Linked DNA regions of Lonchura striata. The protein of the gene in region 1 interacts with the protein of each later gene in a pairwise test. Links are inferred from orthologs where the notes say so. Each region holds a gene or a part of one and is shown on either strand. Other genes may lie near its edges.

Evidence for each region.
Region 2: the proteins of RETREG3 (region 1) and MAP1LC3A interact in binary tests that used the Homo sapiens proteins (3 or more experiments, as listed by UniProt). The link is inferred for Lonchura striata from reciprocal best matches to the Homo sapiens genes RETREG3 and MAP1LC3A.

Annotation. Positions count from the first base shown.
Region 1 is NC_134627.1:6,273,586-6,281,872, forward strand, and holds the start of RETREG3 (reticulophagy regulator 3), read left to right. Parts: upstream 1-4,578; 5' UTR 4,579-4,592; coding exon 4,593-4,774; intron 4,775-5,325; coding exon 5,326-5,432; intron 5,433-6,576; coding exon 6,577-6,607; intron 6,608-7,692; coding exon 7,693-7,819; intron 7,820-8,287. Other genes in the region: TUBG1 (tubulin gamma-1 chain), read right to left, coding at 285-434, 640-726, 1,409-1,535, 2,126-2,205, 3,020-3,088, 3,274-3,441, 3,881-3,993, 4,269-4,317. UniProt on the Homo sapiens protein: Endoplasmic reticulum (ER)-anchored autophagy regulator which exists in an inactive state under basal conditions but is activated following cellular stress.
Region 2 is NC_134619.1:13,501,054-13,508,975, reverse strand, and holds the start of MAP1LC3A (microtubule-associated protein 1 light chain 3 alpha), read left to right. Parts: upstream 1-4,651; 5' UTR 4,652-4,736; coding exon 4,737-4,776; intron 4,777-7,922. UniProt on the Homo sapiens protein: Ubiquitin-like modifier involved in formation of autophagosomal vacuoles (autophagosomes). While LC3s are involved in elongation of the phagophore membrane, the GABARAP/GATE-16 subfamily is essential for a later stage in autophagosome maturation.

The DNA.
Region 1 (8,287 bases):
TCCTGGCCTTGCTCTCATCACTGCTAAGGGTAGCTTTTGCCAGTCCTGACCCTGATGATCTCGACAGCCACCCTGATGCATGCAGCAGGTAGCCTGGCACAAGCACAACTGCCTGCTCATGTCTGATTCACTGCACATGCAGCAGTCACGTGTGAGCACGTGGGCCTGGCGTTTGGGACGTGCAGTGACAGCTCACAGCGAGACGGGGCTGACAGATGCTGCAAGGTGAGTGTGACAGCCTCTCTGCCCTTGGGGGTGGGAAGGAGAGCCCGGGGCTGCCTTACCGACTGGTCCGTGGTGAGTGGTGTGTAGCCTGTCATCAGGAAGTGCAGCCGGGGCGTGGGGATCAGCGAGGCGATCAGCCCGATCAGGTCATTGTTCATGTACCCGGGATACCTGAGCGTGGTGGTGCTGGCAGACATGATGGTGGACACCTAGGGGAGAGGACAGGGTCAGCAGAGGGTCACAGAGCCTCATGCTGACATGCCAAGGGAAGCTGGGGCATCTGGAAGGGCACAGGACCTTCACTCAGCTCCAGGCTGCCCAGCCCTGAGCCCAGCCCGTGAAGCTGGTTCAGACTAAACTGAACAGAGCAGGGAAACCCCATGCTGGTTTCTCCTGAGGGAAAGTCCTTCTCACCAGCTGGTTGATCTGTGAGAATGACGGGTTCTGAATGTGCAGCCGGTCTGTTGCGATCCGATTCAAGGCTGTGTTGTCCAGAACCACCTGCAAGACAAACCTGGCTCTGTGAAGGGCCCCTGAGGCAGCAAGGAAGGGCAGTCCTGGCTGTGTGTCCCAGGTGGTCCAGCACAGGCCCTGGATGGAGCCCTCTGCACAAGTGGCAGACACTTGAAACCACCAGCTGACTCATGTGTGGCACGTAACTGACACCCTCAATGGAACCTCTTCCCTCCCTCCTGGCTGTGCTCCCCATGCTCTCCCAAAGAGCTCTACCCCTGGGCCAGCACTGCCAGTTGCAGCAGCTCCAGTGCAACTGCTCCTGCACTGCCACGTGCAGGGACCAGCTGCAGGGACCAGCTGTAGGGACGAGCAGTGTCTCGGTTAGACGTGAGCAAAGGCTGAAGGCGCTGCCTGGCTGGGGATGTCGTGGGTGCTGCACAAGACACAGGTGCTGCATTCAGGCAGGGGCTGCAGCACAGAGGAAGCACAGCCAGTCCTCACTGCCTTGGGAACATCTCTTGGACCCAAGGCAGATATGCCAGGCAGCTCTGCAGGGGTTAGCACCAGTGAGGGTCCCTGGAGCCACATCTGCTTGGCCCATCTGTCTGTCTGTTCATTGCTGCTCCCGGGCTCGCAGGCACACGGTGCTGGCCCAGGACGGGCTGCAGTTCTGAGCTGTGGGGACAAGGCTGTCTCCTCAGGGCTGGCTGCACCACAGGCCTCTTACCACACAGTCAGCATTCTGGGTCAGCCTCTTCAGAGTCAGCAGAGAGTTGTACGGCTGGACTACAACATCGCTCATCTCATCCTGGTTTGGGAACACTGAGTAGGTCTCCACCAGTTTCTTGGGATACCTAGTGAGAAGTGCAGCATCTTGAGGGTTAACACCATCAAGCTATGCTCTCCCCTCCCACAGGCTGCCTTAGCAGTCTCCAGGGCTCAGGACAGGGTGAGTCACCAAAGCTGCAGCCAGAGTGGCTCCCAGGGAGGGAGAGAATGTGTCCCAGCAATGCCTACCCCAGCAGCACAGCAGCCGGCTGCCAGAGGAGCTACAGGGAGGCTGAGCCATCCACAGGCTGATTAAGCAGCTGCTCACAAGTATTTTCAAGAGGATGCAAGCTGAAACAGGCCAGGATGGCAGCTCACAGCCTTCAGTCAGAGCCTCCCACCCTCCCCTGCACCGTCAGGGTGTCCGCAGGCAGCTGCCTGATAAGGAGGCTGAGGGAAGGCAGAGCTTGGACAGAACAAGTCCAGTTTCAAAGCCTCTGAAGTCCCCAGGCGTATCAGGAGCCAGCCTTCTGCAGGCAGCGTGCCAGGGATTGCACAAGGCAGTGTTTTGGTGGGGGTGGTGGCTCTGAGTCAGCGCTCTCCAGCTCCTGCTGCAGGCAGGCTGCCCAGGCTGGGCCAGGCACGGGCTGTGGGCAGGGGACAGGGCTGGGCTCACCTGTCATTCAGCCTCTCCAGGAGGTAGGAGCCCAGCCCAGAGCCTGTTCCACCAGCGATGGAGTGGCAGAGCACAAAGCCCTGCAAGGAAGCAGAAGGTGCTGAAGGTGAAGCTCAGCCCCAGAGCAGGCAGACAATGTGTCACCCCTGCTACCTCCAGCAGAGACCTGCCAACAGGGCCAGAGCTCCGTGCAGCAGCTGGGAGCATGGATGCAGCAGACTGACCCCAGCTCCTCCAGACCCCAGCAGCAGCCACAGCTCCTCAGGCCACTCCTGCCCACACAGTGGGACCTGCATCTCTGCACACCCCGCAAAGTGCAACAACTGCTCGGGAGCGCTCAGGATTCCCACCCAGAACAGAACTGGAATAGCTCCAATGTCACCTCTAGGGTCCAGTCCATCCCAGGAAATGGAACTGCATGTCCTCAGCCCTTTCCTGGGTCCTTACACCCCTCCCTCCTCCTAGTCTGACCGAGGCCAAGCTCCCACTGCCTGACTCCAGGGCAGCTCCCACATGCTCAGCTCCCACATCAGGCACTTCAATGTCCTCCATTGTTTCAGTGATGTTCTCCCTTCCCCTGCTGCCATGTCACAGCCTGACATGAACACCTGGCAGCCCTGTCTGCACACAGGGTGTGCATGTTCACATGGACAGCATAAAGAAAATGCCCCACAAGCAAACAGTGGAACAACTCCTGGGGCAGGGTGGCAGATGGAGTGGGAATGGACAGACCCCCTGTTCCTAGATCCCCTCTCTACACGTTCTGTGCTCAGTCCCAGAATCTCACTGAGCTAATCTGTGCCCACTAGAGTGCTGAGCTCAACCTTACAAAGAGCAACCTAGCTGGGAAAACACCAGGCAGGGCCACCAGATCCAAATCCCTTGTTTACTTACTTCCAAACTGTCACTCCCATCAGCCTCTCTGTCTATTATGTCAAAAATATCTTCATGGATCTTTTCTCCCTGCAAGAGAGATCAGGACTGGTTTTGCTCCTTTCCCACAGAACATGGAGAAGAGCTGCTCAAGCTCAGTGTGAGTCGAGTCAGACTGGCAGTGTGGTGCTGTGCCCAGGGTGCCACACAGCACATGGACACAGGACAAAGCCCCAGGGCTGAAGAGTCTCACCCAGCAGCTCTAGGGCTGGTACCTGCGAGAAGCCACTGGCCCAGTTGTTGCCAGCTCCCCCTCCATGCTCAGACAGGTAGATGTTTTCTGGGTTGTAAAGGTTGGCATAAGGGGAGTTGAGGATGGAGTGGATGACACGGGGCTCCAGGTCCAGCAGCACAGCCCGGGGGATGTAGTGCTCATCATCCGCCTACAACGGGAGCAAGAGGATCTCGATGCTGCTGCAGCTCGGTGCCACCTCCCCTGCCAGAGCGTGAGCCACCCCTGGCTGCAGGTGAGCCCCACATGGCCGGGCCTGGCCAGAGGGAGCAGGGAGAGAGAGGCTGCTCCTGTGCTCAGTGCAGCGTCTCTGTGTGTCTCTGTGCCCAGAGCACCGCCAGCCTGGAGTGGGAGGAACTCCGGTGCTTACATAAGCCACTATCTATGGCAGCCACAGCCTCGTGCTTGTGCTCCACCCGCACAGGCTCCGCTCACACACCGGGAGCGCAGGCGGGAGCCCGGAGCGGGAACCGGGGCCGAGCCGCCGCTCCCGCCCGCACGGTGGCGGCAGGGACGCAGCCAGCCCGGCTGCACTGCCGGGGCACAGGGAGCAGGGCAGCACTCGGTGCCCGCTCCGCGGCCGCCCGTACCTGGTAAAAGAAAACGTCCTTGCGGTCGGTGCCCTCGGTGGCGAACTCTTCCACGATGCCCTCGGGGCTGATGCCGTGCTCGGCGCAGAGCTGCTTCCAGAACTCGAACCCGACTGCGGGGAGGAGCGCTTAGACAGACCGAGACCGAGACCGAGACCGAGACCGAGACCGGGACCGGGACCGAGACCGAGACCGAGACCGAGACCGGGACCGGGACCGGGACCGGAGCGCCCCGGTCCGCAGGCCCCGCCCCATCCCGCCTGGCCCCACCCCACCCGTCCCAAGCCCCGCCCCGTCCCGCCAGGCCCCGCTAACTGCCCCCCCCACAGCATCCCGACCCCGCCCGGCGCGCGCTCCCCCGGGCCCGCCGCGGCCGTGCCGCGCTCACTCTGGTTGCCGCACTGGCCCAGCTGCAGGGTGATGATCTCCCGCGGCATCGCGGCCGAGGCTCCGCTCCGCTCCGCGCCCCGCCCGACTCCGGTACCGCCGCGTCTCCCGCCGGCGCCAACGGCAGTGCGCGCGCGCACCGCGCACTTCCGGGGCAGCGCCGCGCACCTCTGTCCGCGGCGCGTCCCGCCAGGAGGTGCAGGCCGCGCATGCGCCAAGATGGCGGCGCGCTGAGCGGAGTCGCCGCGTGTTGCTGGGGGCCGCCATGGTTGCGGCGGCCGTGCGCGCGCGGCGGGCGGGCGGATGTTGACGCCGTGAGGGAGCGATGGCGGCGGCGGCGGGGCCCGGGCCCGGGGAGCGGCAGCGGCGGGTGCAGGCGCTGAGCGCGGCACTGCGCGGCCGCCTCGGGCCCTACGAGGCGCTGCTGGGTGCCGTACAGGCCGCGCTGGTGTGGGAGCGGCCGGGCCGCAGCGCGCTGTGCTGGGTGGCGGTGCACGGCCTGTTCTGGTGAGCGGCGGGCTGGCACCGGGACCGGCACCGGGATGGGGATCGGGATAGGGACAGGGACCGGGACCGGGATAGGGACAGGGACAGGGACTGGGATAGGGACCAGCACCGGGACTGGGACTGGGATAGGGACCGGCACCGGGATGGAGACCGGGATCGGGACCGGGCCGGCAGGGCTGAGCCGGCGGGGCTCGGGGAGCTGTCCCCGGGAGGAGCGGACCGTGAGGGGCCCGGGAGCGCTGGGTCCACTGCAGCCCCGGCCTCTCCGTGTACCCGAGAGCGTTTCAGACCAGCCGGGAGAGCTCAGCCTGCTGTGGCGCTGGAGGGAGGGCGGCTTGCCTGGGACAGGAGCTGTGCAGCAGGGCTGGCCCGGGAGAACCGACACGGGCAAACGAGTCACCCGGCAGCTGCCCCCGGGGCACGCTGCGTGCTGACTGAGTAGCAGGTGCTGAGTTTTCCTCCTGAGTGAGTGGTTTGAGGTTGGTTTGTGTTATCCCTTTTTGTCTCATAAAGATCTGGCCAGTACCAACTCATTGGTTTCTTCCCTGTAGGTTCTTTGCTCTGACTTCCCTTCGTTTGCTGTTCCTGATTGCTGTAACACTCATAGTAGTAGTGTGTCTAGACCAGTGGAAGCACAAAATCTGGCCAGAAATTGGTGGTAAGTTGCATTTTGAGCTCATAGCAGCAAATCAAGCCCAGTTTCCAGCCCCACAACTACAGGCTCTATACTGCCTGCAGTTACATGGTTAAAACCTCAGCTTTTTGCTTTAAGAGTCTAGAAGGCAGCAAGAGTACTGCAGGCATGCTCTTTCTGGAGATGGAGTATTCTAACCTGTGTAAACACAAGTTCTTTTTGTGCTTGTGACACTGGTATTTGTCTTGTAATCCTGAACCACAGGATGTACGTGATCTAGTGCAGGCATGAGACCATGATTCACTTTCTGAGCATTCAGTACCAGGGTGAGAAATGGAAGCATATGTGGAACTCATCTGGATTCCCCCTCAGAATCCATAATCAGTTTAGGATGAAGACAAAGTCTCAGTCTTGCGGTTGATCAGAGATTTCTTTGGGAGAAGAGGCATCTGAGCAGCTGTAATGAAGTTAGTTTCCAGCTTGCAGTAACCAAAGCAGTTGTGTCCCTCCTTTGTGACATTAATACACTGATGAACACCCCCATTCCAAGCAGCTCGGGGTCCCTTGGCTTTGCATGGACAGGTTAGTTTGGAGCAGTGTGAGGGTCTGCATGTTCCCAGGGCTGGTTCCCTGACTAACCAGCAAGTTCAGCTTCCAGCTTTCTGCTTCAATACGTGTTCTCTGTAGTTCCTGGGAAGACATTAAAGCTTTCTCAGTTTCAAAGCTTGGCTCAGGCTCCTTCTTAGGAGACAGCGTCTGTCCAGCTCCCTCATCCCTCTGATTTGATCTCTCAGGGTGGCTGGTACATCCCTTTCAAGTCCCAGCCTGGGTGGGAAAGTATCAAAGGATTTAAATCCCTGGTGCCTACAGTCTGCAGGCTGTGCCTCCTCTGCAGCTGGGGCGTGCAGGGAGTGGGGGAGAGGGAAGTGGGCAGCCTCTAGTGTCCAACAAACACCAAGGAGCAACAGGGAGACTCTTGCAGTCCTGTGCTGTCACACGTACACGCTCAAGATTTGTTATGGAGTGATGCCTCTCCATCCTGTAATTACAGTTAATGTCTTTTCCAGGTGTTCCCCAGCTCATTAAAGCTTTACTTAAATCCCAAGAGCTAAACATTCCCATGGCAAATTCCTTGAAACTAATGTAGTGTCTGTTCTTAATATTTTAGTGGCAAGACCTGATGAATTAGACAATGAGAGGTAGGAAACTAATTGACTCCTCTGCTGTGATACTTTGCTGTGATACTGTGTTGTTACCTGCACGTGCTTGGGATATTGGCCCCTTTGGGCCAGGAGGAGGGGGAGAAGGGAGGAGGGAGCTGGGAGCTGCTCGACCAGAGGGCAGATGGAAACCCAGGTGCAGTCAGGTGGTTGTGAGATGTTTTTGACTTGCCCAAGCCATTTTATTGTACTTTGCCTTCATACCAGCCTCCAGATATGCTTGCTTAACTCCCTGCTGCCTGAAGTTAGAGGTGCTGCCTTAGGAGCAATTCCTCTTGTTTGGGTCTCCAGTAGCAGGAAAACAGCATTTCTGTGGGAATTAATGAAGTCTTTTGAGACTTGATAGGGAATATTTAACAGGCTGGTTCCAGCAGTTGTTCCTGCATAGTTATGATCTGACTGCAGCATTAATTATGGGTTGAGAAATGCTGAGGTGTTGCCTCACTGCTCACACCTGCCTCTCTGGGCACACCTTCCTGCCGCCACTGCCAGGCTGTGCTGGATGTCAGTTCCTGATTAAATCACCTGAGCTGGTGCCAAAGGACAATTGTCTTTATTCATTCTTTTTTAAGAGGCCCAAGCACAAAAGGAATTGCTCTTTCTAAACTTCAGGTACTCATGACTAGCAGTTAGGCAACACTAACAGAACTGACCAATTCAAGGCCTCCAAAGTAACTGAGTACATGAAGTGAGGTGCAAGGCTGCTTCTAGACCTCATGCTGAACACTTGGAGGCTGCAGTTGACCAGATAAACACAGAAAAAGTAAATGGAATCACTTGATTTGCCTCTGCACTGTGCACTCCCTGCAGTAGCGTAGAAACTGGTCCAGACCATTGACTGAAATTCCTGCTCATCAGCTGCTGTGGGAGCACTGGGATGCTGCTAGAGGGGCTGTAGATGAACTGCTTTGGGCAGGGCACTGCTTGGAGGGCAAGTGACCCTCATCTCTAGAGCTCTGTCTGGGTGGGAACAGAAGGAAGCATTAAGACAAGTATTCGTAAGAAGGGTCTTCAACCCTGACACTGATGCAACAATATCTTCCCAAATTCTGCCTTCACTGCAGCTGGGGATACGTCCACCCTCGGCTGCTGGGACTGCCAGAGCTCTGTCATCATTTGGCTGAAGGATGGGTGACTGGGACCAACTTCTTAAGTAATCTCTTCGTTTTCAAGAGGCAAAGTCCTGGCAAGGTAAGAATGTACAGTTCAGAAATAATCTGTTTGGTGTGGAGCCTCTGCTGACCACAAGGATCCTCCTGTGCTGGCATCCAGTACTGGCTGAACTCGTTTCTGGATGGGAGGTTGTCATGGGAGGTCTCCCACAACACCATGCCTATTACATGGTGGGGAAGAATGGAAAGCCTAGGCAGAATAATCAGGTTGTGGAGGAGGGAGGAGAAAGTGAATGTCAGTGTGTGGATTGCACCACTGAAGTGAGAGCGTGGCTGCTCCTTCTGTAGGTTTCTGGCTTTTCAAGTGTCTGTCAAACTGGTCTCCTCACTGGGTTTTAACAGCTTGAGAAAGTGTGTCAAGCTTTTTTGAGTTTATGGAAAGAGAAACCTGTAGCACAGTGATAGTGTCCTTGTCCTCTTCACCTTGAAGAGCTCTCTAGTTTAGCTTCTTCCTTGCTGTTCTGTCCTTGCTGTGGGAAGTTCCTCT
Region 2 (7,922 bases), on another chromosome or scaffold:
TCTTCTGAAGATTTAAAGTTTTCTCTTAATTGATTCGAGATTTTCTTGAAAATCAGAACCTTCCTAGGACTGTTTTTGTTTGTCTGTTGCTTTCTCTGAACAAGGATTTGGCCCAAGGGCATGTGCAGTTCACTCACAATTGGCTCTTGTGTTGTAGTGTTTTCCTGCCACTTTCTCTCCACTCCAGACAGAATTTTCATGGCTAAGGAAGTCCATTGATGGCACCCATGGGAAATCTCACACTGTCTCAGCTCAGTAGCCAGTTTAATCTCCTATTTTCCTTTAGTACTTTTCAATTGATGCCATTAAAGATTAAAAAAAACCAAAAACCACATGGTTACTCCAAAATGCTCAAGGGGTTATTTTGGTGGAGTTTTTCTTCAGGAAAAAAAAAAAAAAAAAAAAAAAAAAAAAGCAGGGCTGGAGAATGCTATGGTAACTGCAGCTGTGGAGATTTTGGTAAAAATGTTGGTGTTGAGTTGGGCACTTGTGGCTTTCAGAGCCCTGCGAAGGGTGGGTGTGGGAGGATTCAAACAGCCAAGGTACCCTGCATGTTTTCTCTGTGCATTTTCAGACCTGGACATGAATTTTTGGACTGTGTATAATCTGCTAGGTGGTGTCCATGACCCTGAAGGTCAGAAATGCCTGTTGGGGTCTGTAGCCCTGTAGCATCAGTGCTTTGCGTGTCCCAGCTGCCCCTGTGACTCAGGTATTGCTGTTCATGAGCTGCTTCTCCCTTTACACTAGGTCTGGTTTAAGCCATTCCATCAAAACAGGGAATAGGGTCTGGAATCCTGCTTGGTCTTTGGTGCAGCTCCTGATATGCAGCAGTTTACATAATGCCTTTGATCTGCAATAATTGTATGCTGCCTCCCAAAAAAATTAACCTCCAGCAAGCTGAAGTCTGGCTAATTGAACAGTGAGGCAAGGCAGAAGAAAAATGTGACCTCAGTGATCTCTCTCTGTTGTTTGTAACCCAGAGAAATATTTCCTTGGAGGTGGTGACCTGCTTATGGATTTTTGCTTTCTCAAGTAGGTGGCAGTGCTACTTCTCTGAACAGTGAAAAATCTGTAGTGTCCTGCATTCTTTTGGACACTTCCTTAATGATAGCTGTCCTACCAGTAGCTTGGTGTCACAGTAGCTTGGGACAGAGTATTGAGTGTTGGTTTTAAGTAAAACAAGCTGTAATAAATAACCTATTGCAAAACAAAAGATCATGGCCCTTTTTTATTGTGTTGAGATCATAAAACTTGCAGTGAAATGACTGAACTCATGCTATGTGCTGGTTGGTTGGAGGATTGAGGGTTGGTTAGGGGATTTTTCTCAGGATTGAGAGCAGCCTGGCATGAAATATACTTGGGAATTTGAATGAAAGGCTCTTAAGCTGGGTTGGGAGTCAAGGAGTTTGTCAGATCGATCTGGGCAGGGCCTTACTTAGGCCATGTAGTGCCACCTTTACACCAGCACCCAAAATTAATTCAGATTTATTTTTTAAAACTGGCAAGAGGTGAAGCAAGCTGAAGAACAAAAACTATCATTTACTTACTATGGAACAAAGTAATTAACTAAATAGTAACTAAACTAATAAACTAAACTCAAGTTTATTTGGATTAGGACCATTAGAGAGTCACAGAGCTGTCAGCAATTTCCATGTATGAAAGTCAGGGGAGGGTGTCATTTTCCTACATTACCACAAACGGTCAAAAAGAAAGATGGAGCTCAGTTTCTGGTCCTGTGCTTCGTGAGTCTGGGCCTGGTTATTTGTATGGTAAAACTACTGCCAGACTGAGGAAGAGAGAAAAATTAGCATTATGGTTCTAGTCCTTTTTCCTAGCCAGGATCACAGGAAGCTTGAGCAGCCTATGCCATCTGCATCTTGGAGCTGCTCTGTGCTGGGGCTGGCCTGGTTTGCTGTCTTGGAAAAGTCAGTTTTGGTTTTGGTGGATCCCTGTCGAAGGCTGAGGAAACATCTGCTGTTGGGAAAACAAACCCTGATGGATTAACAAGGTAATGAAAGGGAGTTTGGGGCATGGCTCTGGGCTGGGAAGGGCAGCATGTGAGACCCAAGGATGTGCTACCTCTGTGCTGAGATAAGGCTCTGACAAGAGTGGAGGTAACTGTAAAAGCTGAGCTTGTGAACACCTTCTGTGGATTTGTGTTGGCTCCAGAACCCTCCCAAGTAACTCCTTCCCTGCCTAAGGTGGCTGACAGTGTCCTTCACATACAGGACACAGATGTGTCTGCCCCATCCCTGGAAGTGTCCAAGGCCAGGTTGGACAGGGCTTGGAGCAACCTGGGATAATGGAAGGTATGGGCAGGGGTGGGACTGGATGAGACTTAAGGCCCCTTCCAACCTAAACCAGTCTGTGATTTGTTTCATCTTGTCTTAGTTACTTCTCTAGAGGACAAAGGCAAAGATCTCACACCAAGAGAGGCTGGGCTAAAGTGAGCAGAGCTACAGCAGCTCCTGGGACCCACCAGCTGCAAGAGAAGCAGAAGCAGCTGGGGGTGCAGGGGCAGCAGCTTGGACACTGCCTTGGCCAGCAGGAGCCCGGGCATCAACACAATTCTGTTGGCAAAAATACACTTCCTTTACCAGGATTACAGGATTCCTCCAGGGAGATTTCCCTCACTGCTGTGGTTTCACAAGATCCAGGAGTGCTCGTTTTTAGTGGTGCTGCACTGTGGAATGCTGGCATGCGGGAAGATCCTTGTCGATTCCAGGTCATGTCAGGACAGCTCGCTGGTGCCTTAAACCTTTGACTGATCTGGGGAGAAGGGGGTGGGATCTCAAATGCACCTCCTTAAATAAGGAGTTTGGCCAGGGACATCAGTAAAACCAGGCAAGAGGGGCATTAATGTGTGCTGAATTGTTCAGGAAGCTGAGGGCTGAAGGAATAAGTGTATAAATTAAATCAAACTATTTGATCCATATCCCATTTCTGGAGGTACACTAACATGCTGAGAAGCTCCGGAGGTCCTATGAAATGGAGTTTTTTCTCCCTTTCCAGGTTTCTGAATAATTTTCTGTGGAATTATGGCCACAGTCCTGCAGTGAGGTCTGCATGGATAAAACCAGGGGCCACATCATGAAATTGGAAAGACTTTCACATTCCTCTCATTGAAAAGAGGTTCACACTTTATAGCAACAGTAACAAGCCCCATTGCTGAGGATGAAGTCTGTAAAGGTCATCACTTGCCATGTCTGATTCAACATTCCTGCTTTCCCTTCAGTATTTTTAACAGGACCTATATCAGAGATTAATATCTTTACGTGTATCTTAATTATGGAAGTGAATCTGAAGAGTTTATACTTCCTTACCAGTATGTGCTTGTTTAACTACTGCTTGGTCAAGGAAAATCCATTATATTGAGCATGTAAGTGTTTTCTTTCTTGGGTAAACTCAGCAAGGAAACAAGAATTTCTTCAATTCTCATTAAACACATATTTGTTTAAATTGGTGACGCAATAATCGGAGCAGTTCTTTCAAAACTGCATTTTTCATGTATTTTTTTTTACCAAGGTTGTACTTAATCCTTTAACATTTTGTGTTTGCTCCTGTTTTGTGCCAATTCACTGTAGCAATGAGACATTGCTCCACACGATACAGCTCCTGTTGTGGCGTGCAGTGAGGAGGGATATTAGACCTGGTGATACACTGACGCTCTGTTTGCAGTTGTTTTTGATTCATTTATCAGCTCCAGAAATAGCTGCCCTATTTGTAGTCATGCTGCAGGCTTTAACATATTCAGCATAGCCATGGCTGTGAATGCAGGAGGGAAAACAACGGGCTCGTTAGCAGAGAGATGATTGGGGTAGATGGGAATCACAAATGTCAGAGTATCTGTGAGAAAGTAGTTTACATCCAGGTTTGTTGGCTGGAATCTGGTCTGAGCTGTTGTGGCTTCATCCCCACACAATCCTTCCTTCTCCACCCTTCTCACAACAGCCACATTTGCTGCCCAAAGCTGGTGGTGACACTCGGAAGATGTTTTAGTGAAGATGTCCAGAAGATGCCACCGCAGGCCAGAGTCACGGACACCTCTGTCTGTGGAGCAGCTCTGGAAATCCCAGCCCAGGTGTCCTTCTGCTGCCTTAAGCAAGGCCCTCAGGTCCTCTGCTCCATCAGGACTGGAAAAAAAGCTTGTGTTTGGGGTCACCTCTGAATAAAGCACCATGTCCCATCGGGAAATGGGGATGCTCTGCCATGGCTCGTGTCACGGCCATCCTCGTGTCACCAGCTGCTCTCTCCCATGTTGCGGCTTGTAAAAAAGAAAGGGGCAGATAGTAATAGGACAAGAGGGAATAGTTTTAGACAAAAGAAGTGAGATTTCGATTGGTATTGGGAAGGAATTTTTCCCTGTGATGATGCTGAGGTCCTGGCACAGGGTGCCCAGGGAAGCTGTGACTGTCCCATCCTTGGCAGTGCCCAAGGCCAGGCGGGACAGGGCTGGGAGCAGCCTGGGACAGTGGAGGGTGTCCCTGCCATGGCAGGGGCGGCACGGGCTGGGCTGTAGGGCCCGTTCCAGCCCAACCCCGGAGCGGCCCCGCGCCCCCCGCGCCCCCCGCGCCCCGCGCCCCCCGCGCCCCCCGCGCCCCGCGCCCCGCGGTCCCGGGGCGGGCGGGCTCAGGCCCCGCCCCCTGAGGGCGGTGCGCGGTGACGTCACCGCCGCTCCGCCGCAGCCCCAGCGCAGACGGAGCCGCCCGGTGCCGGAGCCGCCCGGTGCCGCCGCAATGCCCTCGGACCGGCCCTTCAAGCAGCGCCGCACCTTCGGTGAGCCGGGACCGGCCGGGAGCGGCCGCGCGGGAGGGAGGGACGGGCGGGCGGATGTGCCCTGCGCCGCCCCCGCCGTGCTGCCCGGCGGGGCGGCCCCGCCCGGGCCGGGGCTCGGCCGCCGCGGGTCCCGCCGGGGCGGCCGCGGGAGCAGCGGGGCCCGGCCGGGGGCGGCGGTGCCGCAGCCGCCGCGCGGTGATGTCATCCCGCGCCGCGCCCGGCCGAGCGCAGCGCTGTCCCCGGGCCGTCCCCGCTTCTCCCGGGGACCGGGGTCACCGGGGCGCGGCGGCGGCCGCAAAGGGCCGTGGAACGCCCGGGGGGACGGTGATGGCCACGTGTCCCTTTCGACTGTCAGAACACAAAGACCTCCCCAAAAATCGCCTTCCGCGCTCCCCATCTGGTCGGCGTTGGGGCGGTTGTTGTTCCAGGATGTCGCACGCCCTCTGTGATGGTTGTGAGACACAGAGTCAGTGCTCGCATCCTCCCCGCCTCTTTGTCAGAGGTCCGTGGTGGGGAGGCTCAAAAGGTGAGGAGGTGACTGTAGAAAGTCCCGGATTTCTATCTCCAGACCCGACAGCGGAATCCGAGGAAACACCAACTGCTGTTTTCCCTTGACCTTTGCCGGCTGGCGCAGGGAGAGGTGTGTGCTTCTGGCAGGTTAAATTTCTGGGGAGGGGGTAGCAGTTGAACTTTACTCGCTGTATAATGCTGAAATCGGTACTTTTATGCCATAAAAAACCCTCATATTGTGCCAGAGACTGTCCAAACGCAGGTGAGGGCGTTTCCTACATGAGTTTTAAAATTGGAGTTTTTGCCTGCTGAAAGCTGCTGATCCAGCCCCTTCTGCTCTCTTGGAAACTGTAAATATTTGGTATTATATTGGCACAACCCTTCTGGCCTTGAATGCTTACCCAGTCCTCCCCTGCCACAGGACCGAGCCAAGGGAACATGCACAAACAAGAACCAGCTGAAGCCTGGGAGCTTGGGATCCTTGCTGGGAACCTGCTGTGTGCTCCTAAGCTACGTATTAAAACCAGTGAAGTCCTAAATCGGCCCCTTAGTAACTACCTACTGTTAAATTGGTGAGAATCAGCTTATTATGGTTAGGAGTAGACTGGTTTGCCTTTGTGGATTGCTCAGACTTTCTTTGAGCCAGAGGGAAAACAAAATCTGAGGCTCAGAGTAGTTGAAAGAAAGCAGGATTAAAATAGCCCGGGAGGGACAGAGGGGGTGAGGGAGTTTGGTGCCGGCAACTGCAAGTGCTCCTTGTTTCTCCGTACTTTCCTCTGCCCTTTTGCTCTCTCAGCTGACTGGGCTGCAGAGCTGAGCCAGGAGGAGAGAAGGAGGAGGACGCCTGGCAGCCCCTGCAGTTGCTTTGGGTCAGGGCTGGAATTACTCTGTTGGAGAAAGTAAATATGGCTTGTTTTTGTCTTTGAATCATTACACAACAGGAGCAGGAAGTGATTGTTTACAATGCAGTTGGAGAGGGCTAGTGGAAAACATCTCCAGTGATTCCATACCCTCAGAATGGCTTAATTTTTAAGGCTTCAAAACTTTACAGAAATGGAACGGTTCCAAAAAAGCAGTGAAAAGGCAGAGTCAGGGCTATGGCTGTTTACAAAAGGCACACAGGCTCCAGTTTCATGGCAAGTGGCTGCCTTAGGTCTTGGGCTGCTGCTTCTCAGTGAAGATTCTCGTTTCCCCAAAGCTTGTGTTCCCCCCTTCTTGTATTTTTTGAATTTTTCTGTGAATTTCTTAGGTTTGTTCAACTGCTTGGTCTTGGGTCTCTCCTGAGTAAAATTTCCTGATTTCTCCTCATCATTTCTAAGGACTTGAGAAGGGGACTGACTGTGAAACAACAGGGGTTTGATCCAAGGTGTGTGGAGGGCACGGAGCAGTGACTCCTCCCGTGATCTCAGGTGCTGTCCCTGGTGGGCAGGTGAGCTCTGTGAGCTGGTCCTTGGCAGCAGAACGTCCTTGCTGTGTGTGCAGGGGGTAAGATGTGGCAGCACCCTCTGCATCCATGTGCTGAACCCAGAGGCTGAGGCATGTTCAGATCTGTTGCAGGAGTCCAAAACAATTCCCAGAACAAAGCTGTGGTCTGTGTCAGAGGAACAGGCTGTCCTGGCAGTCGTGAGAGTGTGCAGCAGCCTGATGACACCATTGCACTTCCCGAAAGGAACACGGGTCCTTGGGAGCATTGTCCCACTGCTCCTGAAGTGAGGTTTGCATTGGGCTGGCAGCAGCTGCCAGCTGTGTTTTCAGTGCAGCACAAAATCAGTGTGGTGATGGACATGGGCCTGGATCCTGGAGCAGCCAGGTGACCCAGAGCACCTTGGTCCCGTGCCCCCGTGTCCGGCAGGAACAGAGGCAGGAACACACCTGCATGTGCCTTGTGGCTCAACTGGAGTCCCTGATTTGGTGACAAACACAGAGGTTTGACCTCAGCCTCTGTGGACAGAGTGTTCCCATCCCAGGTTCCATCCTCTTGGAGATCTGCCTTTGTTTGTGGGAAGCCACTCTCTCTTCAGAGGAAACGCAGTGGTGGGTGTGGAGCAAATCCCCTGTTGGCTCTGGGGATCGGCGTCCCTGGGGACTCATCCAGCACAAGCCAGCTGTGCTTGTACCCACTGAGAGACCAGTAGTGGCTGAATTGTCTGCCTCACACACCGTTCTGTGCTTATCACAACAGTTCTGCTCATTAGTGGCTTGGAAAAACATCTGGATATTGATGTGAGATTGGTCTGTGAGCCCTCGCTGGTCCTTGGCTGGTTCTTGGGTGTCTGTGCTCTGGCAGTTGTGCTTTGAGAGCTGGGATTCCTTGAGAGGAGGATGCTGCTCCAAATTGCTGCTTAGCTGCCTGTGTCTTGGATTAATTACTGAGGACATTCTGTGACTTGACTGGATGTAGGGGTAATTATCGATGTTGAAGAACTGAACAGGCTTCCAGAGCAAAAGTCAGACAAACATGAAGACCACAAATTTTGACTTTTTAAATTATTATTCTTTTCTATAACACAAGGTCCTGACTGGCAGCCAGGAATAATAAAACCTGTGTGTTTTGTTCATTACTTAATTTTTTTTTCACTGTAAAAACTTCCTTTGAGCCAGAAGGGTGGAGACTGGAGAATCCAGGGGCTGTCAGG